Linked DNA regions of Canis lupus familiaris. The protein of the gene in region 6 purifies or fractionates together with the protein of the main gene of each other region. This does not show direct contact. Links are inferred from orthologs where the notes say so. Each region holds a gene or a part of one and is shown on either strand. Other genes may lie near its edges. The genes, in order: MTERF4, NSUN4, LLGL2, LLGL1, MRM2, KBTBD7 and OBSL1.

Region 1 (4,217 bases), on a different chromosome or scaffold from region 6:
CGCCGCGCGGGGCGGGGGGCGGGGGGCGGGCGGGGAGGGGGGGGAGGGGGAGGGGAGGGGAGCCTCCCGGGCCGCTGGGGCCCTCCACCCCCTCCCCCTCCCCGCCGGGGCGTCCGCAGGTCCCCCAGGCCCCGCCCTCCCTCCCAGGCCCCGCCCCCTCCCAGGCCCCGCCCCCACTCCCGGCCCCGCCCCCATCTCCCAGGCCCCGCCCTCCCCTCCCAGGCCCCGCCCCCCGCCCCGGGTCCTCGACGCCCCGAGGGCTCCTCCGTGGGAAGCGGAGTCCGGGGCCCCGCGAGCACCTGCGAGGCCTCCTTTCTCTGCTTGGAGCCGGCGCCGCCGGGGGGGGGGGGGGGCACCGGGCCTCCTCTCCCCGCCCCCAGACCTCCCCGCTGCTCGCGGGCCCACGGCTCCTGCTGCGTAGACCCGCGGAAGCCGCCCGGGGCCGCAGCTCGGCGCCCACCCCCTGCTGTTCACCTGGGCGCGCGGCGGGCGCCCGCGGACCGGGGGGGCGGGGGGGCGGGGCGGGGCCGGCCGCGCCCCCCGCACCCGGGAACGCCCGCGGCGGAACGCACCTCCCGCGCACTCGCGCTTCCCTGGGGGGGGGGGGGCGGAAGTGCGGGCCACGGGAGGGCGGAAGTGCGGGCCGGCGGGGCGGAAGCGCTCGTCAGGCCCCAGCCATGGCGGCGCTCGGCGGGCAGGTGAGGGGGCGCGGGCAGTCCCGCGGGCGGGGTCGGGAGGTGCGGGGCGGCGGGAGGCCGCGGCTCGGGGACGCCGGTCGGTGAAGCCGCTCCGCGGGCCGCGGCGCCAGGATGTGGCTTCGGGCCCGGAAGGGACGGACAGGCCGGGCGGCTGCGGACGCGAGCCCACCTCCCGACGAGCGCCCCCCGCCCCCGCCGCGTAGACCCCGACCCTTGAGGCGCGGCCACGCGGACGCGACACGCCGTGGTTTTCCCTCCCTGCGCCGCGGTCCGCGCGTCTCCCGCCCCCGCCCTCCCTGACCCCTGACCCCCCGCCCCGCGGCCTCCCCGCCCCCCGCCCTGACCCCTGACCCCCGCCCCGCGGAGCTGCGCACGGCCGCCCGGTGCCCTCTACAGCGCGGGGCGGGAGCCGACCCCTGTCTCGGTCTCTCCCAGGTCCTCGGCGGGGCCCGCACCTGGGCCCGCACCTGGCCCCGCACCTGGGCCCGCACCTGGGCCGGCCTGGCCGCGCAGCCCCGCGGAGGGCAGAGAAGGGCCGCAGCGTCCCGCGGAGGGGGCCGCGGGGCTCGGGGCCCGGGCGCGCGGGGGGAGGTCGCGGGCGCCCTCCTGGCCATGGGCTTCAGCGACGCGCACGTCCGGGGGCTGCTCAGCGTGTGGCGGGGCGCGCGGCCTCGGCGGGTGCTGGACGTCGTTTCGGAGCTGATCCTCCTGGGCGTGAGCCCCGAGCACGTGTGCCTGGCGCTGAGGAGCAGCCCGCGCCTGCTGGACCTGCCCGCGGCGCACGCGCAGAGGCGCTCCGGCTACCTGCGGAGGCTCGGCCTCGGAGAAGGTACAGGAGGCCGGGGAGGCGCCGGGCGGCGGGTGGGCGGCGGGTGGGCGGCGGGTGGGCCGGGCGGCGCCTGCGGTAGCTCGGGCTGCAGGACGGAAGCGGAGGCCCGATGGGGGTGCAGGTGCGGGCCCGGTGACCGCCTCCGCGTACTGCGGATCCCCAGATGGCCGGACTCGGGGATCAGAGAGCCTGGCTTCCCCCACCGGGATTCACACCTCGGGGAGCCTGCGGCCTTCGGGGCAGCGGGGCTAGGAGCCCGTCAGGGCCTCGGGGATCCCTACACACTGTAACACAGGAGGGTCACTGGGCTTTTTTTTTTTTTTTTTTTTTTTCCTTCATTTTTTTAAAAAGATTTTATTTATTTGAGAGCGAGAGAAAACAAGTGGTAGGGGAGGGGGCAGGCAGAGGGAGAAGCAGGCTCCCCCCTGAGCAGGGAGTGGCGCGGGGCTTCCATCCCAGGACCCCGGGATGACAGCCTGAGCCGAAGGCAGACACTTAACCGACAGTCACGCAGGCGCCCCAGTGGGGTTCTTTTTCTTCTTCTTTTTACTGACTCCTACCGGGAAGATATTGTTGGGGGAAGATACTGTTGTTTGGGAACCGGTCTCAGAGGATCTCCGTTGGCCCCTTCACCAGAAGATAAGGAAGAGAGCGCCTTCTGTGTCCCCCCTGGCAGATCACCTGTTGCGGCATAATCTAAAAGGCTGAGTGAGCCCAATACTTTATATACTGTGATTATGAATTAGAAAGCTCAGCGAGGCCTTCTGCTTCAGAGGGAAACTCTAAACTCCTAGAAGTCATCCTAGGCACGTTTCAGCGAGACAGCGAGTAGCTGACCTGTTAGAAAGATTGTAAATACTTTTTTAAATAAGTGATTTGAGGTTTCCGGGTACTGGATTTTGCCCACATCCCTGGGAAGACCACGGGCCCAGTTTGCCTGGGCGGCCTCAGTTACCAGTTGCCTCATGCGTTTGTTCAAGGGGCCTCTTTTGCTCGGTGTTGTGCGAGTGTGGATAAGAGATCTGAGGAATGCCGGTGGTGGGTGCTTCAGCGACTGCTGAGGCTGCTGGGAGCATCAGAAGCTGTCGCTCGTGGAGGAGAGCCTCCTTGTTCAGTTTTAAATGCTGGCGTGGGCGTGGCAAGCCCCTTGGTTTTCCGGAGTGCCCTGAAATCATGTACTTGCCCTTTCCTGTGTCTTGCAGGGAAACTGAAGACGCTGCTTCTCTGTTGCCCTGAAGTCTTCACCATGCACCAGAGGGACATTGAGAACATCGTGGGGGTTCTCAAGGACAAATGCCTTTTCACGGGACAACAGGTGACCAGGATTTTGCACAGATGCCCCTATGTTCTTCGGGAGGACCCTGGTGACCTCGAATACAAATTCCAGGTGAGGATGACTGGTGACTGGTAGGGGTTCGGGAAGTAAAAACGCATTGTTTGAATGTAGCGAGGGTGAGCTCCGTGGATGAGAAGCCTCAGGCACCCCGAGGGCGGTGGACGAGGTGGAAGGGTTAGAGCCCCTGCACACACCCTCCAGAGGGAATCCAGCTCTGGTCTTTCACTTCCTTACGGAAAACCTCTCCTACAGCGTTTCTGCCATTAATAATGAACGACCTGGTCCCTCTCCTGGGGTCCAAATGGGGCCTCTCCTTGAAATAGGTGGTTTTAAAAGAACTAAAGACTCTTTTTTTTTGAACCTATTTTGCGTATTGATTTTAGTAGCATAATTGTGACAGTTGTCTTGTCTTTTGGTTAACAATTTTGACAGGTTGGGTTAGATTGCTAGATGTTTCTGGATATTTTGCCCATTCTTTCCATGCTCACAGTTTTTTTTTCCTGAGGAAAAAGAATTGAATTCATCCCACTTAACACTTCATTTTCTACTAAATTTTTTCAATATGAATTTGGAAATGCTTCGAAAACTCAGCCGTCACACCAGTGCTGGGCATCGTAGAGTGTCCTGGCACTGCTAGTTGGGCAGCTCTTTGTGAGTGCTTGAGTTGATTGTGGACGGTGGCAGGACAGACCGTAGGTAACTGTGTCTGTGTCTTCAGTATGCCTACTTTAGGATGGGGGTTAAACATGCGGACGTGGTGCGGACCGACTTCCTGCAGCACTCCATAACCAAGATCAAGCAGAGACATGTGTTCCTCGAGCGCCTAGGGCGGTACCAGACCCCTGATAAGAAGGGCCAGACACAGATCCCCAATCCTTTACTCAAGGACATTCTGAGAGTCTCAGAAGCTGAGTTTCTGGCCAGGACAGCCCATTCTTCTGCTGAGGAGTTTGAAGTTTTTAAGAAGCTCTTTGCTCGGGAGGAGGAAGAGGAGTCTGAGAGGCAGATGCCTGACATGCAGAGCTTAAGTCTAGACGAGGAGGATGAGGAGGAGGAAGAAGAGGAGGATGAGGAGGAGGAAGAAGAGGAGGATGAGGACGAGGAGGAGTGGCAGTAGGACTGGAATGAAGAGCCCACAGATAACAAAGAACATTACAAATTTTTAAAGCTTCTGAGAGCTTCACTTGGATCATCTCAGGTTATTTTTCCTTCTAAAACTGCCGTTCTGATGAAAACATTGTTATAAATCTCCTGAGACTGGATAGGAGCTGCATTAGGTTGATGTGTTGTCAGGTCTCTGTGGGGAGGGCCCTCTTCCCTCCTGCATGGGAGGCGGACTCTGAGCGGGCGAGCC
Region 2 (3,614 bases), on a different chromosome or scaffold from region 6:
ACTCTTACACATTACCAGTAGAAACAAAACCAATGTAACCCCCCCAGAGAGTGATTTAGTACCCTCTGTCAAAATCTTACATCCATATAAACTGTTATCCAGCAAAGATACTTAAAAAGCATAAAAGTAAAAAGGACTGAACCTCAGGGTATATTATTAAATGAAAAAACTACAAAGTTCAAATAGTGAGAATAATACACCACCATTCCTTTATTCAAAAATACACACACACTGGAACACCTATGTGGGCTCAGTCAGTTGGGCATTGGACTCTTGATTTCAGCTCAGGTCATGATCTCAGGGTCATGAGATTGAGCCCTACATCAAGCTTGTACTGAGTGTGAATCAAGCTTGTACTGAGTGTGGAGCCTGCTTGAGACTCTATCCCTGCCCCATGCTCTGCTCACACACATGCATGTGTGCACACACTTTCTCTAAAACAAACAAAACCCAACAACACACATGCACATTTGTATTTGTATATCCACAAATAATACTTCTTAAAGGATACAGATGAAAACAAGCAATGATCATCTGTGGGGAGAGGAAAGATAGCTGAGAGACAGAAGTAAAAGGGAAGCACCTTCTGAATTTTACACCATGTGCTGTATTAATATTCAAAAATAAATTAGGTTATTCATACTTATTTTAATGAGGGCTTCTCACCAACCAAAGAAGTTGAGAAATAAAATAAGTCTAATAACTCCTTTCCCACTCAGGTTCAAACTCTTTCCTGCTAACTGTCTTTAATGAAGATAACACCAATGATTGTGCAGATGTGCAGACTCTGTTCTCCCAATCACCCACAGAGCATGGGCCAGGTCCAGAAATGACCGTACATCCTCAAACATGGAGGTCTGGATCCCATGAGAATTCTCAGGGCCTGGTGCTGGGATGGGAAGGCCAGATTTGGCTAGCCGGATGTCAGGAATCACTTACCCGGTCATAGGTGTCTCCCTCCAGTTCTCCCCACTTCCTGCCATCCCATGAGGTGACTCGAACCCGATTTCTATCCCTGATATCTTGAGGCACATAGCTGCGAAGGACCCTCTGTAGTCTGCCTGTTCGAGAAGTGGACAGATCATTGGCAGCGAGATTGCCTGTAGGAATAGAAATTTTTTTTTAAAGATTTTATTTATTTATTCATGATAGACATAGAGAGAGAGAGAGGCAGAGACACAGGCAGAGGGAGAAGCAGGCTCCATGCCAGGAGCCTGACGCGGGACTCGATCCTGGTACTCCAGGATCACGCCCTGGGCCAAAGGCAGGTGCCAAACCGCTGAGCCATTCAGGGATCCCCAGGAATAGAAATTTTAACATTGTGAGCAGCCCCGGTGGCTCAGCGGTTTAGCACCACCTTATGTAAGAGAGAAATAAACTTTTTTTTTTAAATATTTTAAATGTTTATTTATTTATGATAGTCACACAGAGAGAGAGAGAGAGAGAGAGAGGCAGAGACACAGGCAGAGGGAGAAGCAGACTCCATGCACCGGGAGCCCGACGTGGGATTCGATCCTGGGTCTCCAGATCGTGCCCTGGGCCAAAGGTAGGCGCCAAACCGCTGCGCCACCCAGGGATCCCTAAAATTTTCTTCTTTAAGCCAGTTCATTGATTTTCTATTGAATATTACCAAACCTAATCCATCTATCTTCTACTTTCCTTTTTGTGACAGACACAAATTCAAGAAATTGGTCACTTTGGGGCGCCTCGATGGCTCAGCTGGTTAAGCATCTACCTTCGACTCAGGTCGAGATCCTAGGGTCCTGGGATTGAGTTCCACGTCAGATTCCCTGCTCAGGAGGGAATCTGCTGTTCTCTCTCCCTCTGTCCTTCTCCCCCGGCTCATGTGCTCATGCTGTCTCTCAAATAAATCAATAAAATCTTTAAAAAAAAAAAAAAAAAAGCTTGCTTTGCTCTTGACTCTACCATAAGAAAAACCTTACTGCAAGTTTGATGATAAATGGTGACTGATACCTGGTCTCAGAGTCAAGAAGTGAAAGAGTGAAAGGGAGAGGCAGAACAATGGTGAAGAACTAGAGGGCACACCTTATCCCTTATCCGATGGGAGCAATCCACCATGCACCAGTTTAGTGTTTCTACACAGACCTAGAGTCCCAATTTTTGAGGGAACTCAAAGAAGTAAAAATTGGATTCTTTGCTCAGGAGGAATTTGTAAAAGGATGTGAATGGAGAACAGAAAAGCTGGGTTCTGGTTCTGGCTCTATCTCCAACTCAGGTAAAAGTTAAATTCTTAAATCTCTTCAGAGTCAATTTCCCCCTCCATAAAACACGAGGACTCTCTTGGTGAGGAGCTGGCATGGGGGCAAGGTGCTGGTAACTTAATACAACTTACAAGAGCAACTCTCGATTACTTCTCATTGGCCCTTCTTCTGCCTCTTAGAGTCCAGATCCTCCTCTTCTAGGTAACCCTACCTCACTTAACCTCTTTCTGATGGATTCCCATAGCACTGGGTCAGATCAGTCCAGCACAGAAGCTGGGCTCCTACACTGGACTCCTTAAACCATACTAACACTTTTTCTCCTCTGCCTCTGCACTACCAGAAGGGAAGACAAACATGGTACCATGCAATCACCCACAGGGCCTACCGTGAGGCTGGAAGCTAACTCAAACTGTGCAAGTAATTGGCTGATGAGACCTGGAAGACAAGGGGCCCAGCCCATCAAAAAGTCTAAGGCATAAGGCAAGAGAAGCCTGGCTGAGTTCCAAGGTGAGTGGAAAACCCATAGCCCCCCTCTGGATATTTCTCAGGTCCCTGTGGAACGAAAGGTGCCCATTTTAAGGCAGGATGTCAGCAAGTAGATAGCTGAAGTGAACATCATGGCGCACATGGCCCTGGCTGGTGGCTGCACTACTGAGATGAACAAGACTTGTGCCTGTCCCTAAGGAATTCATGCTTAGAGCAGGAGAAGATGCATACACCGTAAAGCTCTGACACAGGCTAATGTGCTAACAGTTGCAAGAGTGACGCCCGCGGCATGGGAGTGTAGGAGACTAAGGCATCACTTTGCAACCGGCTAGCAAAAGTCATAAGGGAAGACTTCCAGGAGGTGGCACCCTTGAGCTGAGGCTTGAAGGCTGAAGGCTTCAGACAGGCCAGCTGGGATAGATAAGGTGGCGGGTATTCTAGAGAGAAAATGGAACATGAGCAAAAAATGGAGGCTTATTCAAACAACAGAGAGTAGCAGAATGTGGCTGAAGCACACAAAGTCTGGGGAAGAATAACAAAGCTTTAAAGGGTGGCTGCAGCCAGATCTTATTGCTTTAGTTGGCAGACTAAGGAAATGAACTTAATCTTAGAGACAAAAGAAAACAGGGGTAGAGGAGTGAAAGTGTCATGTGTAGATTGATCAGGGCCCTGGTTTAATCTGCCTTCAGAGACCTTGCTCTGCTCAGCAATCTTTCTTGGCCAATTGACAGAGGAAGAGAGGAGAAAACTGCAAACAAAAATCCACCACCTTAGCAAGCAGGCACTATACCCCGCCTCTGACCTTAGGACCAGAGAGCCCATCCTACTTGGCAAGTCCCTGACTGGGTGAGGTAGGGGGCCCTCCCTGCCCAAGACACCAACCCTCTGACTTACGGCAACAGCCAG
Region 3 (3,614 bases), on a different chromosome or scaffold from region 6:
AATGGAGATCACCCATGGAGGGCCCAGCTGGAACACACACACACACACACACACACACACACATACATACACACACACACACACCGGTGAAGCTGTGACTCCCTCCCAATCCTCTGCTGCAGCATAGGCAGGGGAGGTGGGGGTGCCTCCAGCAGGCTGGGCTACACTGGAGGTGGTATATAGCACCCCCTCAGCTGGTTAATCATTGCCAGGCCACGGCCATATCCTGGTTACCAATCCTCCTTGCCAAGACTCATGGCCATAGCTGCTGGGGGCGGTGCCCTTATCTCTTCTCAGGTGCCACCTTGTGGTAGCTCATGGGTCTGTTGCAGCTTAGGTGCTAGGGTCATGGTGAGGGTGCAGCAAGCAGTCCGCAGTTGCCAGGATAAGGCTCCACCCTCCTAGAGTGTCACCCCACCTGCCTGGCTGGAAAAGCTATCCCTGGTTGGAGTGGGCTCCCCATCAGGGTCACATCACCCCTGGCCAAGTGCTGTCGCAAGGAAAAGGACTTGCGTCACCCAACCCCAGGCCCCATCTGGGAGGAGGGTGAGCCTGTCGCTGAGGTACTTCTATTTCTTGCCACGTGGGCCTAGAGGTCCTGGCCCTTTAGAGGGAGGGGGTGGTGTCCTGCCTTCTGCAGCTTTTCCTGAGCCTGCTGCCTGTAGCTATGGTGCGCCAGGGGTGGAGTTCATGGGACTCCACCGAGAGAACAATGCTGTGGTGCAGATCCATTTCCTACCTGGCCAGGTGAGGGGCCCCTCCACACCCTCTTGCTCTCATGCCACCCAGAAGGGGTGTACATACGGTGAGGCGGGCATCTGGCGGCCCTGGGTTTGGTTCTGATAGGAGGGCCTGGGACTCCCTTTCCCTCGGCTTTGGGTTCATGGGCCACCCCGAGTGTAGCCAGGGATTTGCTTCTGGGCCTCCCCAAATCAAACAACATGGGGTGGGCCACCCCAGTGGGAGAGGCCACAGTGAATGCTGGCCCTCCCTAGTGAATAAGATGGCACCCGCCTGCTTTTGGTGCCATTCCCCTCCTAGTGCCAGCTGGTCACCCTGCTAGATGACAATAGCCTGCACCTGTGGAGACTGACAGTCAAAGGCGGTGTGTCGGAGCTGCAGGAAGATGAGAGTTACACACTGCGTGGCCCCCCAGGGTAAGGACTTGGTGCCCGTCGTCTCCCAGCCGGCCTGACATGCACACCCAGCTCCGGGTGTCGATCAGGAAGGTCCTGTGGAACCCTTGGTGGCCCTGCCTCCTTCCATCCCCACACAGCGTCTACATAGGAGGCTCTGGAAGGGGGCAGGGGTTCTGCTGCCCCGTCCAAGCCCTCGCCCTCCACCATCTGGCTTCTGTCTTGGCAGAAAGTAATCCCTGTATTTACCCCATTGGACCCCATTAAAGGACCTCATGGGTCTGCTTTCCCTGGACGAGGCCTTTCCTGGGGCTGGCGAGGGGCCCCTAGCCCAGGGGCTTCCCTGCCCGGTGGCAGCCAACTCACAGGCAGCCACTCCCATCCTCAGGGCTGCCCCCAGCGCCACACAGATCACCGTGGTCCTGCCACATTCCTCCCACGAGCTCCTCTACCTGGGCACTGAGAGTGGCAACGTTTTCGTGGTGCAGCTGCCGGGCTTCCACACGCTGGAGGACCAGACCATCAGCTCGGACGCCGTGCTGCAGTGGTGAGCCTGCAGACCCCTGGCGGTCGGGGAGCCACCCCCTCCAGCTGGGCCTGGCCTCCTCCCATCTGTCCCAGTAATACCTCAGGAGCTTCTAATTTCTCTCCTGGGGAGTCTATAGGGACTATAGACTATATCTATCTATAGGGAGGAGAGATTCTCAGCTCCCCACCTGTCCCCTAAGCAGAGACTCTGACCCCATGATGTGTTTAACATCATAGCACTCAAATGGTTTTGGGGGTAACTTGTCATTTCATTTAAAGGTGAGAAAAATGAGACTCAAAATGATTTTGCACTGTCATCAGTTCTTAGTCTACTGTCCTTTGCACTGTCACCACAAATTTCCCAGCCCCCAGGCTCTGCAGTGGGGCACAAGGGGCCCAAACCTCTCCCCAAACTTCTGGGGAGGTTTATGCTTTGGAGTCTGCTGAGTTTTCATTTACATGCATGCCCCATGGCCCAAACTCCTGGTCAGCCTCGACCCTCTAGGCTTCTTCAGATCATTCTGGAGGCTTTGCCCCATGATAGTCTGTGACAGAGAATAGGTCAGGTCAGGTCAGGATGTGGAGAAGAGGGTACTAGGGTCCCAGGGAGGGGGAGCTGAAGAATCAGCTGTGGTGGGATATTCCAGGGTTTCACGGGACAGAGAGGAGGCCAGGGTCCTTGGACGGGAGCTGCTTCTCGAGCCGGTGGGACACTGTTCCTGAAAGGACCAACCTTCCAATGCACTCACATCCGTCAGGCCCACTGTCCAGAGCTGGGTCGAGAGGATTCCTGCTTGGGGCTGGGTCCCTCTGAGCACAACCGCCTCCCTCTTTCCCGCTCGGCAGGATAGAGTCAGGGCAGCACGGCCATGGTCAGAGCAGGACTGTTTGCTGTTTGTAGGTCAGCAGGCTCGGCCGCTTCTCAGCCTGGGCGCCCAGTCTGTGGGCAGGGCAGTGGGAGGACCTGCTCCTCACATGTGGCCATGCCAGTGCCACCTCACTCTGCCGATGGAAGTCCAGTTGGGGGGCCTCCCCCAGCCTGAGTGCCCTGGGAGCCCCCTCCTACCTATGTAAATCTTTTCTCTAAATAAAGAGAGGTTTGACTTGGTTGGGTGCCTAGAAGTGTCCTGAGGTCCAGGCTATTTGCATAACCTACTCTCCTGTGGCGCTGGCTGTGGGTCCTGCGTCTGCCACCTCATTCTCTGTTGGCTGCAGCACCTCCAGACTTCACATCAGCATTCCAGGCCCAGAGAAGGGGGAGGGGGTCAAAGCTCAGGGCCAGGCCAACTCACATAGAGAGCTTTGTTGAGTGGGTTTTAAAAACTTTTTTATTAAGAAATATCACCTCTATACAGAAATGCACTAAATACAAATGTACAGTTTAGTGAATTCTTGTAAAGTGAGCCTCCACGTGCCCTCCCCAGTCACGACCCTTTCCCTCCCCGGAGATAACCACCACATCAACTTCTGGAAGTCACTTCCTTGCCTTCCCTTGTAGCGGCACCAGCTGTGTTTGCATCCTTAGGTTCCTATATATCACTATGCTGTTCTGCGCACGGCTTCTCTCCCACCTTGGCGGTGTCCCTGCGATCTCCCCACCCTGGCACATCCCCACCCACAGGCGTGCCTATGCCCAGTGCTCTGTCCTGCCCTGGCAGCGGCGGCAGCCTGGCCTCACAGTGCTTCCTTTGGCCAGGTTGCCCGAGGAGGCCCGCCACCGGCGGGTGTTTGAGATGGTGGAAGCTCTGCAGGAGCACCCCCGTGACCCCAACCAGATCCTCATCGGCTACAGCCGGGGCCTCATCGTTATCTGGGACCTGCAGGGCAGCCGCGCACTCTGCCATTTCCTCAGCAACCAGGTAGGCCATGCCAGGAGTGTGGCAGGTGCCACAGGGCTCTCCCAGGCTCCCATGTCATACAGCCCCTGTGCTGGGACATGGGGGTACGGGT
Region 4 (4,050 bases), on a different chromosome or scaffold from region 6:
GCCAGGCCCCACGTTGCTTGGTAGCTACCTTAGGATCAGAAGTCGGGCCTGCCTCCCTGGACACAGCTGGGGGGCGGGGCGGGGGGCGGCTGGTGCTGGCCCATAGGCCCCACCTAAGCTCCTGGGAGTTCCCTCCTGCCCAGCCCTGAGCGGGGGCAGCCTATCCTCAGCCTTGGAAGGAAAGGTTCGGCCTTGAGGCCACGGTCCAGAAGAGAAAAGGCGGCCTTCGAGGTGGGTGGGGACAGGCCGATAGTCCCTTGGAGAGTGGAGGCGGGGTGCAGCTTTGTTTATATAGTGTTGCGTGCAGGGGAGGCCCTTCCCCCACCCTGGAAGAGCCCAGATCCAATCTCGGTTCGCCCCAAACGCCACCTCCGGAGGCAGGGCCTCTTACCTGCCCCTCTCTAGCTGGATGGCCCGTGAATCCCGCGCTGCTACGCGTAGCCTTTTACGATGGACCCTGAAGGATGTGTAGGAGATTCCCAGGGGCGAGGGACTGGGGAGGGCATTCCTGACTGACCACCAGTGGAGCAAAAGCGCGGTGGTGGGAGGTGTTCCGGCACACTTGCGAACAAAGCGCTGCCCCGTGGAACTGTATACCTTGGCAATCACTGGGCCGTAATGTAGGTGGGGAAACTGAGGCTGGGGGGCCGAGAAGTTGGATCTGTCAGAACTCTCCCGGCTCTCGGGGCAGGTCCTCCTCATTACCTGAATAAGCACGCCGCTCCTCCCTGGGGGAAGGAAAGGCCTCCTCCAAGTTCGGGAACACCCGTCAGCCCCCTCCAAAGCTTGTCCCCAGCCGCCCACGCAGGAAGCCTGGCTCGCGGACTACAATCCCGGCAGGACCCGCGCCGCGGCGCATGCTCGGCGGGAGCACCTTCGCGAGCCCGGCCGAGCCCGGGGGCCCAGTCTTCCCCCATTGTCTGGCCGACAGGGGCGGGGCGAGCGGCACCGGGGCACACCCATTGGTCGGGTTGTACGTCAGTCGCGCTCTGCGTCCGCCCCCGTGCAGGCCCCGCCCCGCGCGCCCGCGTCCGGGCCGCCTGGCGCCCCGCCCGCGCCTCAGGACCCGCGGGGCCGCGCGGCGCATCCTGCGGGCGGCGGCGGCGGCGGCGGCGGGCGCGGCGCCGGCAGCCGGACGCAAGATGATGAAGTTTCGGTTCCGGCGGCAGGGCGCTGACCCGCAGCGCGAGAAGCTCAAGCAGGAGCTCTTCGCCTTCAACAAGGTGCGGCGCGGCGGTTCGGGCAGAGGGAGGGGGCGGGCCGGGGGCCCGAGCCGGGGGCCCGAGCCGGGGGCGCGGGGGCCGGAGCCACGTCGGGCCCGGGGGGAGGGGGCGCCCGGCCGAGGCGCGGCGCGGGGGCCGGGTCGCGCGCCCGTCGGCGGGCCCCACTTCTCGCCTCCTCCTCGGCTCCACTCCCGGACCCTGGGTGGGTCTGGGTCCCCTGCTGACTTTCCGAGTCCGCTCCCCCGGGTCCCTGTGGGCCTCGCTGGCCCTGGCTCTGCGGGTCTCCGTGTCCCTGGGTCGGTGTCTCTCTCTGTCCCTGTGCGACTCTTTACATGTCCTGGGTCTCTGCCCCGCCTCGGTCTGTGATCACCTCCTGTCCTAGCCTATCCTATGCCTGTGTCTGGGGAGGGGGTGTCTGCCTCTGTCCCTGTGTGTCTCTGCGTATCCCTTCTCTTTCTTCGTCTCTCTGTCTCTTCATCTCTGAGTCTTTGCGTGTCTCTTCGCCTCCATGTGTCTCCGTAAGGTCTCTGGAACTCTCACTCTGGCTCTCGGTCTCCGTCTCTTTATCTCTCTTCCTTTGGGGGCCCTCGGAGCCCCCGCTCAGCCCTTGGGGCAGCCCAGGGCCCCAGTTTGTTTTGCTTTCGCACCCAGGCCAGTGGGGAGGGGTGAGGAACGGAGGCAGATGTTGGGGGGTGGGGCTGGGAAATCCTTTCCCTGTTTCTTTCGTCCCCTCCCCCAAGGCCCGGGGCTCTGCCTTGGGGGCTCTGCCCTGCCCTGTTTTGCTGGGGGCTCCAGAGAAGATGCCTGGCTGTGTAGATGAATACACTCCTGGGGCCTCAGTTTTCCTTGCTATAAAACGGGGCCACCTTTTTCCCTGCTCTGGCTCCCTGTATCACATGGGCCTGCTGACCTATCCTTTGGGCCAACGTGGAGAGATGGTTGCTCCTTCCTTTCTTTTCCTGGGTAGGGCAAGAGGGGCCACAGTACTGAGGCTACCTTCCACTCCCTCCTCCCCTCCACCTTTGCACCCATGCGTGGTTGATCCGGGCCCCAGCCTTTCCCTTGCTAACTTCTGGGGTGTTGCTTCCGGGCTCAGTTTTACTCCAGACCTCTGATTGCACAGCCCCTCACTGCTCTTGGGGATTAGAGTTACTATCCCCATCATATAGGTGAGAAAATGGAGATTCAGAGAGGGATGACGACTTGCCCAGAGTCAGAGAGTGAGTCGGGGCACTCTGTCCTCGTGGACCCTTGTCGATGAGGTTTGACTTTAGCTTTGAGGTGCAGGGGTTTTTGGAAGGGCTGCTGTAGTCCTGAGCCAGACTCCAGGAGACTCTTGTTTAAGAGAAAGCTCTAGGATGGCTGGATCTGAAGTGGTCAAGGTGGAAATGTCCTTTGGGGCAGGCAGGGTTTCCTGGTGATGGCGGCTGCTGGGGCCTTCGACATGGTGGCTGAGAACTTGCAGGGGCCTGGGAGGCCCAGAAGGGTGGCTGGTGCCCGGGGTCTCCCCGCTGGTCTCTTTCATATGCTGGGTGGCTGTGAGCAAGAGCCCCTGTGAGGTGAGAGGAGAAGGATGCTGGGGGTAGGTGTCACTTCATCAGCCAGTGAGTCGGGGTGTGAAGTGGAGATAGTGGAGATAGATGGTGGCGAGGCTGGGCTCCTCCTGACTGGCCTTGGGTCAGCAGAAGCCAAGGGTTCCCTGCTAAGGCCAGTGAGGCCCTATTCTGAGTAGGTGGCATTGGTGGGAAGGGTGAGGCTTGGGGTAGGGGCTTGCTCACACGAGGAGATAGGTGATCACTAGAGAACAAATAGATCCCAGATTCCCGAGTGGTGGGAAGGGTCAGAAGCAAGCATGGACCTTGGACTGTCTTGCATCCGAATCTCTGTCCTGCCCATAGCTTGCCTGTGGGATGTCTACTCTATGTCAGTTTAACAATCTTGAGCTCCTACTGTGTGAGGGGCCCCCTTCTAGGTATTGGGGACACCACAGTGACCAAGAGAGACAAATGCCTCTTCGGGGTGCTGATATACTCATGGGGGATATAGTAAAAAGCCACAGCAAAAGAGTAAAATGTGCAGCAGTTTGGATGATGACCAGTGCTGTGGTTACAGTAAAGTGGGGTGAGGGTAAGGAGTATGGGAACAGGGAGGCTGCTAGAGCAGGGTGGTTTAGGGAGGGCTTTGAGGAGTTGACTCCTGAGCTGAGAGCTGAGTAATGGAGAGGAGCCCTCTTTGGGCACTGCTGGGTGTCCAGGTAGATGGACAGTAGATGCAAAGGTCCTGAGGCAGGAGCCTGCCTAGTAAATTGGAGGAGAGCAGAAGGGCATTGGCCCAGCAGTCAAGCTAGGGGAGGGAGGGAGGAGGAGGGCAGACAGGGGCCAGGTGGTGAGGTAGGAGCCCCAAGAGGGTCCTGAGCAGAGGAAGGGACTGGCTAGACCTGGTCAGCTCTGGTATGAGCATGGGAAGCTCTCCCCCTGCACCCCCAGCCAAATGGGCTACTCTGTCCTCAGGTGGGCTCACTGCCCCTAGTGAGCACATGGGACACTGAGGTGTCGAGAATGTTTTGACTAGCCTGAATCCAACCAAGCAGGCTGCAGAGAGAGCTCAGTCCCTTCCTGGATTAGTTGAGGCAGGAGGGAGGCTGGGCCAACAGGCCTGCGGACCACAGTTTTCTTTTGAAATGTATGTCTTCCTGAGGCACTGGTCAGGAGACAGCTGGACCCATGTGTCATGTCCCACATTGGTGTCGAGGATGGGGGTGGGGTAGGGGGTGCTCCAGTCCGGCATCTGGGGATGAGTAGGAGTTCCTTGGTGGTTGTGGGAAAAC
Region 5 (4,058 bases), on a different chromosome or scaffold from region 6:
GGGGCTCAGCGCCCGACTCCCGCGTCCCAGCTCCGCACCACTCGGCTCCGCGCGCGCTTTCGGATCTGGGGCGCCGCTTCCGGGGGCGTGGCCTCGGCCGGAAGCGAGGCCGGCACTTCCGGCGCAGCGAGCGGAGGGAGTCGGCCTGCATGGCTCTGTGAGTGGGGCTGCGGGCCCAGAGGCGGACGCGCGGGAGCGCTGGTGCGGCCTTACCGGGCGCCTCCTGCAAGCGTGCGGGGGGAGGACGGCCCGGGGCGTCCCAGCTTCCCTCCGCGTGACAGGGGCGCGGACGCGGGCTTCCCGGGCGCAGTGCCTAGGGGAAGACTTCCTACACGAAGCCGGTAGTCGGGGCCGCTTCCGAGGAGCGCGGGCGGGCGGAGGGGGCAGGTGAGGGGGCCTGCAGGTGGGGGGCTGCGGAGAGCGGAGGAGACAGGTGAGGGGGTCTGCAGGTGAGGGGCTGCGGAGAGCGGAGAGGGCAGGTGAGGGGGCCTGCAGGTGGGGGGCTGCGGAGAGCGGAGGGGACAGGTGAGGGGGCCTGCAGGTGAGGGGCTGTGGTGAGCGGAGGGGACAGGTGAGGGGGCCTGCAGGTGGGGTGGTGCAGAGAGTGGAGGAGACAGGTGAGGGGGCCTGTAGGTGAGGGGGTGCAGAGAGTGGAGGAGACAGGTGAGGGGGCCTGGAGGTGGAGGGCTGCGGAGAGTGGAGCAGACAGGTGAGGGAGCCTGCAGGTGAGGGGGCCTGCAGGTGAGGAGGTATGGAGAGCAGAGGGGGCAGGCGAAGAGGTGCTGCAGGTGGAGGGGGCACTGCAGGTGAGGGGGCAGATGAAGGGGTGCTGCAGGTGGAGGTGAAGCTTGCAAAGGGCACTGCAGGCCTGAAGGCTGTGGCATCAGGGCTTGCACAATTGGCCAATGTGGCTGGACCCCAGCTGTGGGAGGGTCCTGGAGGTCAGCTGTGCAAATTTGCAGGTCTCCAGTGTGTGTGACTCTGCTTTCCAGCCTTCCCCCAACCTCGGGAGTTGGTTCTCGTGCCCAGGATTGTTCTGTGCTCCTCCCAGGAGGTCCCTTCAGCTTTTTTTTTTTTTTTTTTTTTTTTTTTTAAGATTTTATTTATTTATTCACGAGAGACACAGAGAGAGAGAGGCAGAGACACAGGCAGAGGGAGAAGCAGGCTCCATGTAGGGAGCCCGATGTGGGATTCGATCCCGGGTCTCCAGGATCGCGCCCTGGGCCAAAGGCAGGCGCCAAACCGCTGCGCCACCCAGGGATCCCTCCCTTCAGCTTTTTGAAGGCAGTGACTGCAATTACCCTGCCCAGATCTTGCCAACATGCTTTGGTTGTTGAAGGGGCTTTTGCTTGGAGCCGTGGAGATAATGGTAGGTTCTTTCCATCAGAAACATGGATACAGAACTTATTTGTAGGGTTGTGCTGAGAGTTAGTTAGGGGATATACGGGGTGTGGGTTTCTGGTACTGGATAAGTTGTTAAAAACCTAACTTTGCCAAAGATACTTGGAAATTGTCCTTCACCTGCTCACACAGGTTGAGTTCAGTTGTATGAGGCAATGTGACTGGTAAGGCCCTGTGTTGGCCTGTGCAGCCATGGAGCTAAGTACAGCAAGGGTCTGTCCCTGGGGGGGTTCTCTCGCGGTTCCCTAGAGCCCAAGGAGAAGTTAGTGGGTGAGCAGGAATATTACCTTTGTGAATATCAATGGTACTATTAACCGGTACTGGAAAGACCTTGGTTGACACAAGCAAAGTGACCATCAGTGATGTTTGAGTCTTACTTCTGAAGGAAACTTTCATAAGCTGAGTGGAAGCAATGCCTGCTGTGCTTGAAAGTCCCCAGGAGAAAGCCCCCAGGCCAGGCGGCTGAGACAACACAAACTTCTGTCTCACTGCCCTCACACAGCAGGGGGCTGCAGCCCCAGGCCAACGTGTGGACAGGACTGGTGTCTCCTGAGGCCCCTCTCCTTGGCCTGTAGATGGCTGGCTTCTCCCTGTGTCTTCCCCTCCCCACCCCTCCTGTGGTTGGTCCTGTGTCCCTGTGTCCTAACTTTCTCTTAGGAAGATACCAGTCATACTAGATTTGGGCCCACCCATATAGCGTCATTTTAAATGAATTACTTCTCTATCTTATTTTATTTAAAAAAAAATTTTTTTATTCATTTGAGTGAGACCTTGAGCCAGCACGAGAAGGGGGAGGAACAGACTCCCTGCTGAACGGGGAGCTTGACAGGGGGCTCGATCCCAAGACCCTGAGATCATGCCCCGAGCTAAAGGCAGATGCTTTACCAACTGAGCCCCTGAATTACCTAATATTACCAGTCCTATTTTGAGATACCTGGGGTTAGGACATTAGCACACGAGTTTGGGGAGGGACTCGGTTCACCCCATTCCACCTGCTTTCTGTCTGGGTAGCCTTGCCAAGTCTCCTCCCCGCTCCAGTCTCTGGGCGCTGTCTCTGAAAATACATGGGCTGGACCAGGGAGCCTACTTATGTGTGTGATGCCCGCCTGTATGCTCCTGTTTGCTCCCTCAGGTCTTTGAAGCTGCTTCATGTGTCCCTGCAGTGTCAGAGGTTTCACACAGCTGGGAGTTACTACAAGGGTCGGACCGGTGCTGAACACCTGTGGCTGACGCGGCATTTGAAGGACCCATATGTGAAGGCAGCGAAAGTGGAGAGTTATCGGTGCCGAAGTGCCTTCAAACTCCTGGAGATGGATGAGAGGCACCGGATCCTGCGGCCCGGTCTCCGAGTGTTAGACTGCGGGGCGGCCCCTGGGGCGTGGAGCCAGGTGGCTGTGCAGAGGGTTAATGCTGCAGGCACAGGTAGGACCTCTGACCACCTTGGGTCTGGAGGTGCAAGCCAGCTGCCCTCTACCAGGAGATTCACTTGGTGAGGACACCTCCTTCTGAGTTGCTTGTTTAGTGGTAGGAAGGCTGAAAGTAGGACATTGATGTTTTCAAAATGACAGCCACAGTAGAAAGGCATAGATTTAGAGTACCTCAGATTGTACCATGTCCATATGTACGTCAATGTGTCGCCATGTGCCCTTCGAGAATTCTTGCATAAGTATATATGTGTTTTTTTTTTTTGTTTTTTTTTTTTTTAAAGATAGTATTCTACATCTATGTTCTTCCTGCTGCTTTGGAGCCTTCATAGAGCTGTGTTTTCTTTTTCACTTACTAATATATTGACATCTGTCCATGACAGCAGATCTGTACCAATCCGAGGTTTCTGGCTCCTGGTCCTTGAAGCTCTGGTCTTCCCAAGGCCCCACTAGGTCTGCTTCCCGGAGCACCCGTGCTGGGGCTCTGGCTTCTCCCCTCTTGTTCAATCTGAGGGACTCTGCTTTTGCCATCTTATATTTTAGGATCTTGTCAAAGGTTTTCTATATGAAGATGGTTCCCCCAATTAATCAACAGGGTAACCAGTACCCTCAATTTAGATACCTATATTGTCCTTTTAAATGCTTGTGCAGAACTCCAGATGGCAGCTGTCCTGTGCTGTACAGCTGGTCTCCTTCTCATGGGCACCAGTGTTGCTCTCAGGTCTATTGCTAGGGTCCGCCATGCTGTGATGAGCATCTCTCCCCCTTCTCTGATGCCGTAAAATCTGAGGGTACCACAGTCCCTGGCACTATATGAAATATGCCGATTCACGAGGACCTCTCTCTGACACCTAGAGGGAGGATGCTGTGGCAGTAGTCCTAGTGAAAAATGAGGTTCAAAGGAGCTTGCTGACCTGCTGAAAGCGCAGACTGGGGACTGCTGCTCCCTGGGTTCATGACAAAGAATCAGCCTTATTATTATGGGTGGAATACCTCCAGGAGCTCTATCTAGAACAGGCGGAAAAAATGTTTTTAGCTCAACAAATACTGCCTAAGTGAAGGAATTTGTGTCAGAGACTTCAGCTCCTTTTCCTATCACTGAGCCTGTCTACAGACTTAATGAGTGATTTTAATGCTTCCTGGCATTGTAATTGTTCTTCAGAAGGAGGAAGTGGAAGAAGCAAAGAGTTTGGATAAGATGACTGAGTTTTTTTTCCTCCCAGAAGTGGCAAA
Region 6 (4,148 bases):
TGAGTCCTACATTGGGCTTCCTGCATGGAGCCTGCTTCTCTCTGTGTGTGTGTGTCTCATGAATAAATAAAATCTTAAAAAAAAAAACAAAAACAAAAAAAAAAAAACTGGGGCATGCATGAATACAGAGCTCTGAGGTCTGTTTGTTTAAATCTTTTAATCTACAACTCCCGTTTTTATCTCCTTGATAAAGATAACTACATAATCTTAGGCTGATTTGTGGAGAGGAAGGGAAACGAGCAGTATTAGACCAAAACATTCCTGCTAAAAGGTTACGAAAGGGCTTCTGGGTGGCTCAGCCGGTTAGGCGCCTGCCCGGGGTCCTGGGATCCGGCCCTATCAGCAGGGAGCCTGTAATCTCCCTCCCCCTCTGCCTGTCACTCCCCTGCTTGTGCATTCTCTCTCTAATAAGTAAATAAAAATCTTAATTTAAAAAAAAAGAAAAAAAAGCTTATGAAAGTAATCCTGCTCCCCCTGCGTAAATATTGATTTGGTGAGAGGTCAGCCCAGCTATGCATGTGCCTGAGCTGCCTGTTAGAGGCCTGAGCTGTATGTCAGAGGCCTGAGCCGCACGTCGGAGGCCTGAGCCGCACGTCGGAGGCCACCTCTCAACGCTGTTCGCCAGGACCTCATCCTTGTCCACGACACCCTAACGAACCTGTGGATCTCATTTAGTTCTGAAAAGATGGTGGTAGCCTTCAGAAGAACCCTTCAAAAGAAGCAACAGTAAAATTAAGATTCCTCACACAAATCGCTCACGGCTTCGCACGCGGGCACATTTTTAAAAACGCATTGGGAGACGCCACCAGTGGCTGAATCTGTATATTCCAGGCACTTGCAAGCATGTGATTAATCAGCAGGTATTCGCTGAAGCATCCTGGGACCTGCGCAAATCCACCTCGCTCCCACTCTCACATAATCCTATGAAAACTCGTATCCCCCGCTTTACAAAGAGGGGAAAGTTCTCAGAGAGAAGACCAATACCAAAACGGAGATTTTTTTTTTTTTTAAATAAAAAAGAACATCAAAGCCAAAGCTCTAAAACCAACAAACCCAGATTAACGCTTTTTCGAATTCTGTCAGCTAAAAGTCCGCCCGCCCGGAGAAACCTCGCGATATTCCTCGAACTACCACTCCCAGCGTGCACAGCGGCTCCGGCCCGCCCGCCGATCCCCTGGAGTCTGGAGGGGCCCCGGCATGCCTCGGGGCGCGAAAGGCAGCCTGGGAGCCGTAGTTCCGCTGGACGCCTACCGGTATTGCCAGCGCGGCAGTGGCGGCTCTCTCGGTTCCGTCCAGCCGGGTTCTGTAAGGCGAGCTGAGGCGGAGAAAAGGGCGCGGAACTGGAAGCGGGTGAGTCAGGCGCTGGCTACGCGATAAAGGGAGGCGGCACCGCGGCGCGGGGCTGAGTTGGGTAAGTGCGGCCCCTGCAGTCTCTTCAGGGAGAAGGCGAGGAGAGGGCGAGGAGGAGCCCGCGCCCGGTCCGTGCACCCGTTCTCGCCCTCGTACCCCGCCGCCATCTCCACCATGCAGTCCCGGGAAGAGGCTCCGCGCCCCCGCCGCCTGGCCAGTCCCCGCGGCGGCAGGCGGCCCAAGAGGATCTCCAAGCCCTCGGTCTCGGCTTTCTTCACGGGCCCGGAGGAGCTGAAGGACGCGGCTCACTCCGCAGCCCTCCTGGCGCAGCTCAAGTCCTTCTACGACGCGCGGCTGCTGTGCGACGTGACCATCGAGGTGGTGACGCCCGGCAGCGGGCCCGGCACCGGCCGCCTCTTCCCCTGCAACCGGAACGTGCTGGCGGCCGCGTGTCCCTACTTCAAGAGCATGTTCACGGGCGGCATGTACGAGAGCCACCAGGCGAACGTGACCATGCACGACGTGGACGCCGAGTCCTTCGAGGTGCTGGTCGACTACTGCTACACGGGCCGCGTGTCGCTGAGCGAGGCCAACGTGCAGCGCCTGTACGCGGCCTCCGACATGCTGCAGCTCGAGTACGTGCGGGAGGCCTGCGCCTCCTTCCTGGCCCGCCGCCTCGACCTGGCCAACTGCACCGCCATCCTCAAGTTCGCCGACGCCTTCGACCATCATAAGCTGCGATCCCAGGCCCAGTCCTTCATAGCCCACAATTTCAGGCAGCTCAGCCGGATGGGCTCAGTAAGGGAGGAGAGCCTGGCGGATCTGAGCTTGGCCCAGCTGCTGTCCATCCTGCGCCTGGATAGTCTAGACATCGAGAGCGAGCGGACCGTGTGTCACGTGGCCGTGCAGTGGCTGGAGGCGGCTCCCAAGGAGCGCGGACCCAGCGCTGCGGAAGTCTTCAAGTGTGTCCGCTGGACACACTTCAGAGAAGAGGATCAGGATTACCTGGAGGGGCTGCTGACCAAGCCCATTGTGAAAAAGTACTGTCTGGACCTTATCGAGGGGGCCCTGCAGATGCGCTATGGTGACAAGCTGTGCAAGGCTCTGGTGCCCAAACCAGATAGCAGCAGCAGCTGTGTTGTGCCCACAGCAGAAAACCCACCCCAGAGGCTGGGTATGTGTGCCAAGGAGATGGTGATCTTCTTTGGACATCCCCGAGATCCCTTTCTGTGCTACGACCCATACTCAGGGGACATTTACACCATGCCATCCCCTTTAACCAGCTTGGCTCACACCAAGACTGTCACTTCCTCAGCTGTCTGCGTCTCTCCAGACCATGACATCTACCTGGCCGCGCAGCCCAGGAAGGACCTCTGGGTGTACAAGCCAGCCCAGAATAGTTGGCAGCAGCTGGCCGACCGCCTGCTGTGCCGGGAGGGCATGGATGTGGCCTACCTCAATGGCTACATCTACATTTTGGGTGGGCGAGACCCCATTACCGGTGTTAAACTGAAGGAAGTGGAGTGCTACAGTGTCCAGAGAAACCAGTGGGCACTGGTGGCTCCTGTACCCCATTCCTTCTATTCGTTTGAACTAATAGTGGTTCAGAACTATCTTTATGCTGTGAACAGTAAGCGCATGCTCTACTATGACCCGGGCCACAATACATGGCTGAACTGTGCTTCTCTTAAACGTAGTGACTTTCAGGAAGCCTGTGTCTTCAATGATGAGATCTACTGTATCTGCGACATCCCGGTCATGAAGGTCTACAACCCAGCCAGGGGAGAATGGAGGCGGATTAGTAATATCCCCTTGGACTCAGAGACCCACAACTACCAGATTGTCAATCATGGCCAAAAGTTGCTCCTCATTACTTCTACCACCCCTCAGTGGAAAAAAAACCGGGTGACTGTTTATGAATACGATACTAGGGAAGACCAGTGGATTAATATAGGTACCATGTTAGGTCTTTTGCAGTTTGACTCTGGCTTTATTTGCCTCTGTGCTCGTGTTTATCCTTCCTGCCTTGAACCTGGACAGAGTTTTATCACTGAGGAAGATGATGCACGGAGTGAGTCTAGTACTGAATGGGACTTAGATGGATTCAGTGAGCTGGACTCGGAGTCAGGAAGTTCAAGTTCTTTTTCCGATGATGAAGTCTGGGTGCAGGTGGCACCTCAGGGAAATGCACAGGATCATCAGGGTTCTTTGTAAATATTTTGAAGCACTAAGATGTTTCTACTTCTATGGAATGTATCTTTAAAAGATATCCCTTCCTTTTCATGAAAAAAAAAATGTTGATTAGGACTGCAGATTTGGTTTAGAAAGGGTAACATTTGAATTACTAATGTAATGTTACAAAGTTAAACAGTCCATGAAATCAACCTATATGATAATTTATTATGCTAAAAGTCAAGATTAAAATATGCAAAAACAAACTATGTAACTGATTAGAATGCTTGGTGGTTTCTTGGTTGTTCGAGTATTTGTTGCACCAGTGGATTGTTTTGGTTAGTTTACACTGTTTATATTTTGATTATCTACGTTTGTCTTCTGTTAACGTTTTAATTCAACTTAGTGCCACAAGGAATTTAACTTTTTAATTTTTATAGTAGAAAATTGAACTAGAAATTGTTGGTAGGGTTTTGAAGGTTGTATTTTCTTTTAGAATAATGAAAGTAGTAGATTTCCCAAATTTTGAACTAGCCAGTTTCTAGTATTATAAGTTACTATCGTTTCTATCGTTTGTTAAATTTGGTGTGGTTTTCTCCCCTTCTGCAAAGAAAAAAAATTGGTTA
Region 7 (3,614 bases), on a different chromosome or scaffold from region 6:
GCAGGACGGAAGGGGTCTCGGCCTTCTTCAGTGTCACCGTCCGAGGTCAGCAACCGCGGTGGTCTGGGGCTGACTCGGGGGGCCACGCAACCCTGCCCCATGGTCCGCCTGCTTGGGGTCCCTTCTGGGAAGAGCCTGGTGGCCCAGGGGACCTGTTTTCAAATCATCCTGTACTTCTCAATCCTCCCACCACCAACACCCTCCAGCACACTCACCTTCCACGTGTCCTCGGCTGGGTAGGGGGTTGGGAGACAGGTGCTGGTTGTCGATTGGGTACTTACCACGAGCCCAACGTATACTAAATGTTTCACGTGTATACGATCTCGTGTGACCTTCACAACTGGATGAGAAGATCTCCAGGTCACAGGGCAAGAAACTGAGGCTCAGAGAGGTTATGTGATGTACTCATGATCACAGCCAGCAAACACCATAGCTGGGCTCACACCCAGGTCTGCTTATCCCACTGCCTCGGGTGGCCCGAGGCAAGGAGAAGCTTTAAGTGCAGTGGTGCAGTGGTTCTCAAGCCAGGCCATGCTCTGGCTGCTTCAGAACCACCCCAGAAGCTTGTTCTCAATGCATATGCCGGACCTGCAGCGCCAGACTCTCCAGGGTAGAGCCTGGGGTTCCATTCTGGGAGGGCAGCTCATCTTCTCACTTTGAGTGGAAATCCTAATTAAGCCGCATTGCCAGGCGGTCCTGCAGCTGCTGCCTACATGCCCCTCATGATGGGGAACTTACTACCTGTAGAGGCAGCCATCTCACGGTGGCACTGCTGAGTCGTTGCCACCTCCTGCCCGTCCTGGGGCCAGGGCTCGGAGCCTCCCTTACAAAAGCAGCAGCAAGCATGGCCCTGATGTGGCCCATGATAGTGACCTCCTCTCAGCGGGGACAAAGGTAGTCTGTGCCCCCCTCCCCCAGTGTACCCCCCTAGCTGCCCCGACCCTCTGGGGACTCACGGAGCACTCAGGTGCCACATAGTCTGCGTTGCCTCACCTGCCACACACTCAGTAGGCCTCGCACAGCATGGCCTTCACCCTCCCAGTGTCCTCCGGGCAGGAAGCTGTCTGGTGTGTATGTGTGGGGGGGTGTCTATGTGACCACGTCTCTGCCCCCCACCAGACCCCCCGGTGCATATCCTGGACCCCCAGGAGCACGTGTTCGTGCACGCCATAACCTCGGAGTGTGTCATGCTGACCTGTGAGGTGGACCGAGAGGATGCGCCCGTGCGCTGGTACAAGGATGGGCAGGAGGTGGAGGAGAGTGACTTCGTGGTGCTGGAGAAGGAAGGGCCCCACCACCGCCTGGTGCTGCCTGCCGCCCAGCCCCCGGATGGGGGCGAATTTCAGTGTGTCGCTGGAGACGAGCGCGCCTACTTCACGGTCACCATCACAGGTGGGGGGCCAGGCGGGCCCATGTGACACCGCCCGGGCCCACTGTCACACTCTCAGCCCCGGGCCACCGTCCCCTGGCCCTGCTTCCTTCCCCCCAGCTGATCTCGTGTCTCCTTCTTGGTCTGCACCCTAAGGTTCAGTCACCCACAGAAAATGCCTTGTCCTTAACCCTGGCCAGGGCTACAGGATCCCCAGGGAAGCTCCGCTCTCTCCATGCTCCTGCAAAGGGCAACCCTAATGCGGAGCGGGGCATCCCGTGCTAGAAGGGTGAGAAGGCCTCGAAAGCCTACAGGAAACCCAGGCTCCATTTGGGCACTCAGCTGTCCTCTCCCGGGTCCCACTCATCAGTCCCCGTCCTGACCCCGAGAACGGGGCGTGTTTCTATAGCAGAGGCTGACCCCGTGGTCCCCACCCCGCCACTGCACCTGTGATGCGTGTCGGTGACCATAGCTGTCTCTCCAGTTGGGAGCGGCTGTGAGACCTAATGTGAGAGCAGGCTCCCTTCCTCAATGCATGGCCCTCGTGCCAGGAGGAGGGGGCAGGCACGGATCAGGGGAGGCACCGGGGCCATCAGTCCCAGCCGTGACTGTCCCCGTCCTCTAGATGTCTCCTCGTGGATCGTGTACCCCAGCGGCAAGGTATACGTGGCCGCCGTGCGCCTGGAGCGCGTGGTGCTCACCTGTGAGCTGTGCCGGCCGTGGGCCGAGGTGCGCTGGACCAAGGACGGGGAAGAAGTGGTGGAAAGTCCTGCGCTGCTGCTGCAGAAGGAGGACACCGTCCGCCGCCTGGTGTTGCCCGCTGTCCAGCTTGAGGACTCCGGCGAGTATTTGTGTGAAATCGATGACGAGTCGGCCTCCTTCACCGTCACAGTCACAGGTGTGGGTTCACCCCAGCTGCCCCGGGGGGCACCAAAAGACGGTCCTGAGCCCCTGGGGGGAGCTGGCCACCCACTCCCTAGTTAGCACACTGGGGAGGAGGGAGGTAGGGCTGTGGTGCATGTGCCAAGGCTCCTTGCCCGGAAGACCCCGGGGCCCCTGTCCGAGTGAGCCATCTCCTCCCCAGCACCAGGCCCAGGAATAACTGGCTCGTTTACCGGGCACTTCCTGCGTGACGGCCGGGGGCCGCGGACATGCGTGGTCTCTGCTCTCCGAGAGCCGCCAGCCTAGCTGGGGAGGCAGCTATTAACCAGGGGTCGCAAACGGGCAGTCCATAGGGCCCCATGCAGCCCACAGATGTGTTTTGTTTGGCCTGCAGAGTCTTACCAAAGTCAGGACAGTTCAAATAACAATCCGGAGTTATGCGTCCTCTTGAAAAAGCCGAAGACCCGGCGGCTCTGGTCCCGCTTCCCCCCATGGCGACGAACAGCTGGTGCTGAGTAGCAGCTGCCCCCCTAATATGGGGCCCACATTCCTCTGTCCTCCCCCCGCCCCCCCGCCGCCGCCGTTCCTCTTTGCCTCTCCCCAGACTGCTTCAGCCACTGACCTTACCTACCCGGCCCCCGTGGGCGTTTGAGTTTGCGACCCCTGTGTTAAACCAATAAACGCGCAAATAAATGTACAGCGGACACCTCGTGACAAGTGCCGTGAAGGATGAGAGCAGAGGGCTCGAGAGAGAACAGGCGAGTCAGGGAGGGCTTCGGGGAAAGTGGATGCCCCCCGAAGGAGCCAGCCCTGGACGCCCGGCGGCAGGCAGACAGACAGACATGCCCCCCTCCCCTCCAGGAGCGCACGGCCTAGCAGGAAAGCCAGGCTCTTTAGAGGGTCTCAGACTGTGGATGGTCCGGTGTTGCGGGGCCTCGGGGCTGCTGACCTCTGGGCAGGCGGGAAGTGCCTCCAAACCGGAAACTTGGGGCAGGGCCTGAGTTAGCCAAGCGGGGTCAGGTTTGGTCTGACCTGGGGAGTGTTCAAAGCTGGAAAAGCATAGGACGACTGTGGAAGTGATGGTGCTTCATTCAGTGCTAGAAACTTTGGAGGCTGCAGCCGATACAGTGCCAATCCCAGCATGTGTGTGCGTGTGTGCGTGCGTGCATGTGTGTGTATGAGGTGGGCTTTCGGGGGGGGGGGTGGATGTTGCAGGGCCTAGGCAGCTCGTGGGGGGGGCACAGAAGAACCCCGCTGGCTACACTGGAGTATCCCTCCGGCACCTGACGCCGTCCTGCTGCCCTGTGCCCTGCCCTACGTCGAGAGCCTCGGTCCAGACTGAGTGATTTAGCCCCCCCTTCCC

What was found.
Region 1: the proteins of KBTBD7 (region 6) and MTERF4 purify together in Homo sapiens (co-immunoprecipitation; 3 studies listed by BioGRID and IntAct, counting the BioPlex papers as one, with this or other methods). This does not show direct contact. The link is inferred for Canis lupus familiaris from reciprocal best matches to the Homo sapiens genes KBTBD7 and MTERF4.
Region 2: the proteins of KBTBD7 (region 6) and NSUN4 purify together in Homo sapiens (co-immunoprecipitation; 5 studies listed by BioGRID and IntAct, counting the BioPlex papers as one, with this or other methods). This does not show direct contact. The link is inferred for Canis lupus familiaris from reciprocal best matches to the Homo sapiens genes KBTBD7 and NSUN4.
Region 3: the proteins of KBTBD7 (region 6) and LLGL2 purify together in Homo sapiens (co-immunoprecipitation; 4 studies listed by BioGRID and IntAct, counting the BioPlex papers as one, with this or other methods). This does not show direct contact. The link is inferred for Canis lupus familiaris from reciprocal best matches to the Homo sapiens genes KBTBD7 and LLGL2.
Region 4: the proteins of KBTBD7 (region 6) and LLGL1 purify together in Homo sapiens (co-immunoprecipitation; 4 studies listed by BioGRID and IntAct, counting the BioPlex papers as one, with this or other methods). This does not show direct contact. The link is inferred for Canis lupus familiaris from reciprocal best matches to the Homo sapiens genes KBTBD7 and LLGL1.
Region 5: the proteins of KBTBD7 (region 6) and MRM2 purify together in Homo sapiens (co-immunoprecipitation; 3 studies listed by BioGRID and IntAct, counting the BioPlex papers as one, with this or other methods). This does not show direct contact. The link is inferred for Canis lupus familiaris from reciprocal best matches to the Homo sapiens genes KBTBD7 and MRM2.
Region 7: the proteins of KBTBD7 (region 6) and OBSL1 purify together in Homo sapiens (affinity purification with mass spectrometry; 3 studies listed by BioGRID and IntAct, with this or other methods). This does not show direct contact. The link is inferred for Canis lupus familiaris from reciprocal best matches to the Homo sapiens genes KBTBD7 and OBSL1.

Annotation. Positions count from the first base shown.
Region 1 is NC_049246.1:51,199,493-51,203,709, reverse strand, and holds the start of MTERF4 (transcription termination factor 4, mitochondrial), read left to right. Parts: upstream 1-1,307; 5' UTR 1,308-1,310; coding exon 1,311-1,527; intron 1,528-1,958; exon of another isoform or gene 1,959-2,235; intron 2,236-2,729; coding exon 2,730-2,914; intron 2,915-3,581; coding exon 3,582-3,980; 3' UTR 3,981-4,217. UniProt on the Homo sapiens protein: Regulator of mitochondrial ribosome biogenesis and translation. Binds to mitochondrial ribosomal RNAs 16S, 12S and 7S and targets NSUN4 RNA methyltransferase to the mitochondrial large ribosomal subunit (39S).
Region 2 is NC_049236.1:14,148,739-14,152,352, forward strand, and holds part of NSUN4 (5-methylcytosine rRNA methyltransferase NSUN4), read right to left. Parts: coding exon 3,603-3,614; intron 2,730-3,602; exon of another isoform or gene 2,229-2,729; intron 1,101-2,228; coding exon 940-1,100; intron 1-939. UniProt on the Homo sapiens protein: Mitochondrial RNA cytosine C(5)-methyltransferase that methylates cytosine to 5-methylcytosine (m5C) in various RNAs, such as rRNAs, mRNAs and some long non-coding RNAs (lncRNAs).
Region 3 is NC_049230.1:5,864,901-5,868,514, reverse strand, and holds part of LLGL2 (LLGL scribble cell polarity complex component 2), read left to right. Parts: intron 1-665; coding exon 666-747; intron 748-1,041; coding exon 1,042-1,157; intron 1,158-1,524; coding exon 1,525-1,683; intron 1,684-3,360; coding exon 3,361-3,523; intron 3,524-3,614. UniProt on the Homo sapiens protein: Part of a complex with GPSM2/LGN, PRKCI/aPKC and PARD6B/Par-6, which may ensure the correct organization and orientation of bipolar spindles for normal cell division.
Region 4 is NC_049226.1:41,543,535-41,547,584, reverse strand, and holds the start of LLGL1 (lethal(2) giant larvae protein homolog 1), read left to right. Parts: upstream 1-1,142; coding exon 1,143-1,223; intron 1,224-4,050. UniProt on the Homo sapiens protein: Cortical cytoskeleton protein found in a complex involved in maintaining cell polarity and epithelial integrity. Involved in the regulation of mitotic spindle orientation, proliferation, differentiation and tissue organization of neuroepithelial cells.
Region 5 is NC_049227.1:15,025,676-15,029,733, forward strand, and holds the start of MRM2 (rRNA methyltransferase 2, mitochondrial), read left to right. Parts: upstream 1-1,144; 5' UTR 1,145-1,321; coding exon 1,322-1,369; intron 1,370-2,533; coding exon of another isoform or gene 2,534-2,564; coding exon 2,565-2,823; intron 2,824-4,058. UniProt on the Homo sapiens protein: S-adenosyl-L-methionine-dependent 2'-O-ribose methyltransferase that catalyzes the formation of 2'-O-methyluridine at position 1369 (Um1369) in the 16S mitochondrial large subunit ribosomal RNA (mtLSU rRNA), a universally conserved modification in the peptidyl transferase domain of the mtLSU rRNA.
Region 6 is NC_049243.1:9,372,757-9,376,904, forward strand, and holds the start of KBTBD7 (kelch repeat and BTB domain-containing protein 7), read left to right. Parts: upstream 1-1,241; 5' UTR 1,242-1,524; coding exon 1,525-3,564; 3' UTR 3,565-4,148. UniProt on the Homo sapiens protein: As part of the CUL3(KBTBD6/7) E3 ubiquitin ligase complex functions as a substrate adapter for the RAC1 guanine exchange factor (GEF) TIAM1, mediating its 'Lys-48' ubiquitination and proteasomal degradation.
Region 7 is NC_049258.1:25,945,113-25,948,726, reverse strand, and holds part of OBSL1 (obscurin-like protein 1), read left to right. Parts: coding exon 1-45; intron 46-1,119; coding exon 1,120-1,392; intron 1,393-1,994; coding exon 1,995-2,267; intron 2,268-2,645; coding exon of another isoform or gene 2,646-2,770; exon of another isoform or gene 2,771-2,965; intron 2,966-3,614. UniProt on the Homo sapiens protein: Core component of the 3M complex, a complex required to regulate microtubule dynamics and genome integrity. It is unclear how the 3M complex regulates microtubules, it could act by controlling the level of a microtubule stabilizer.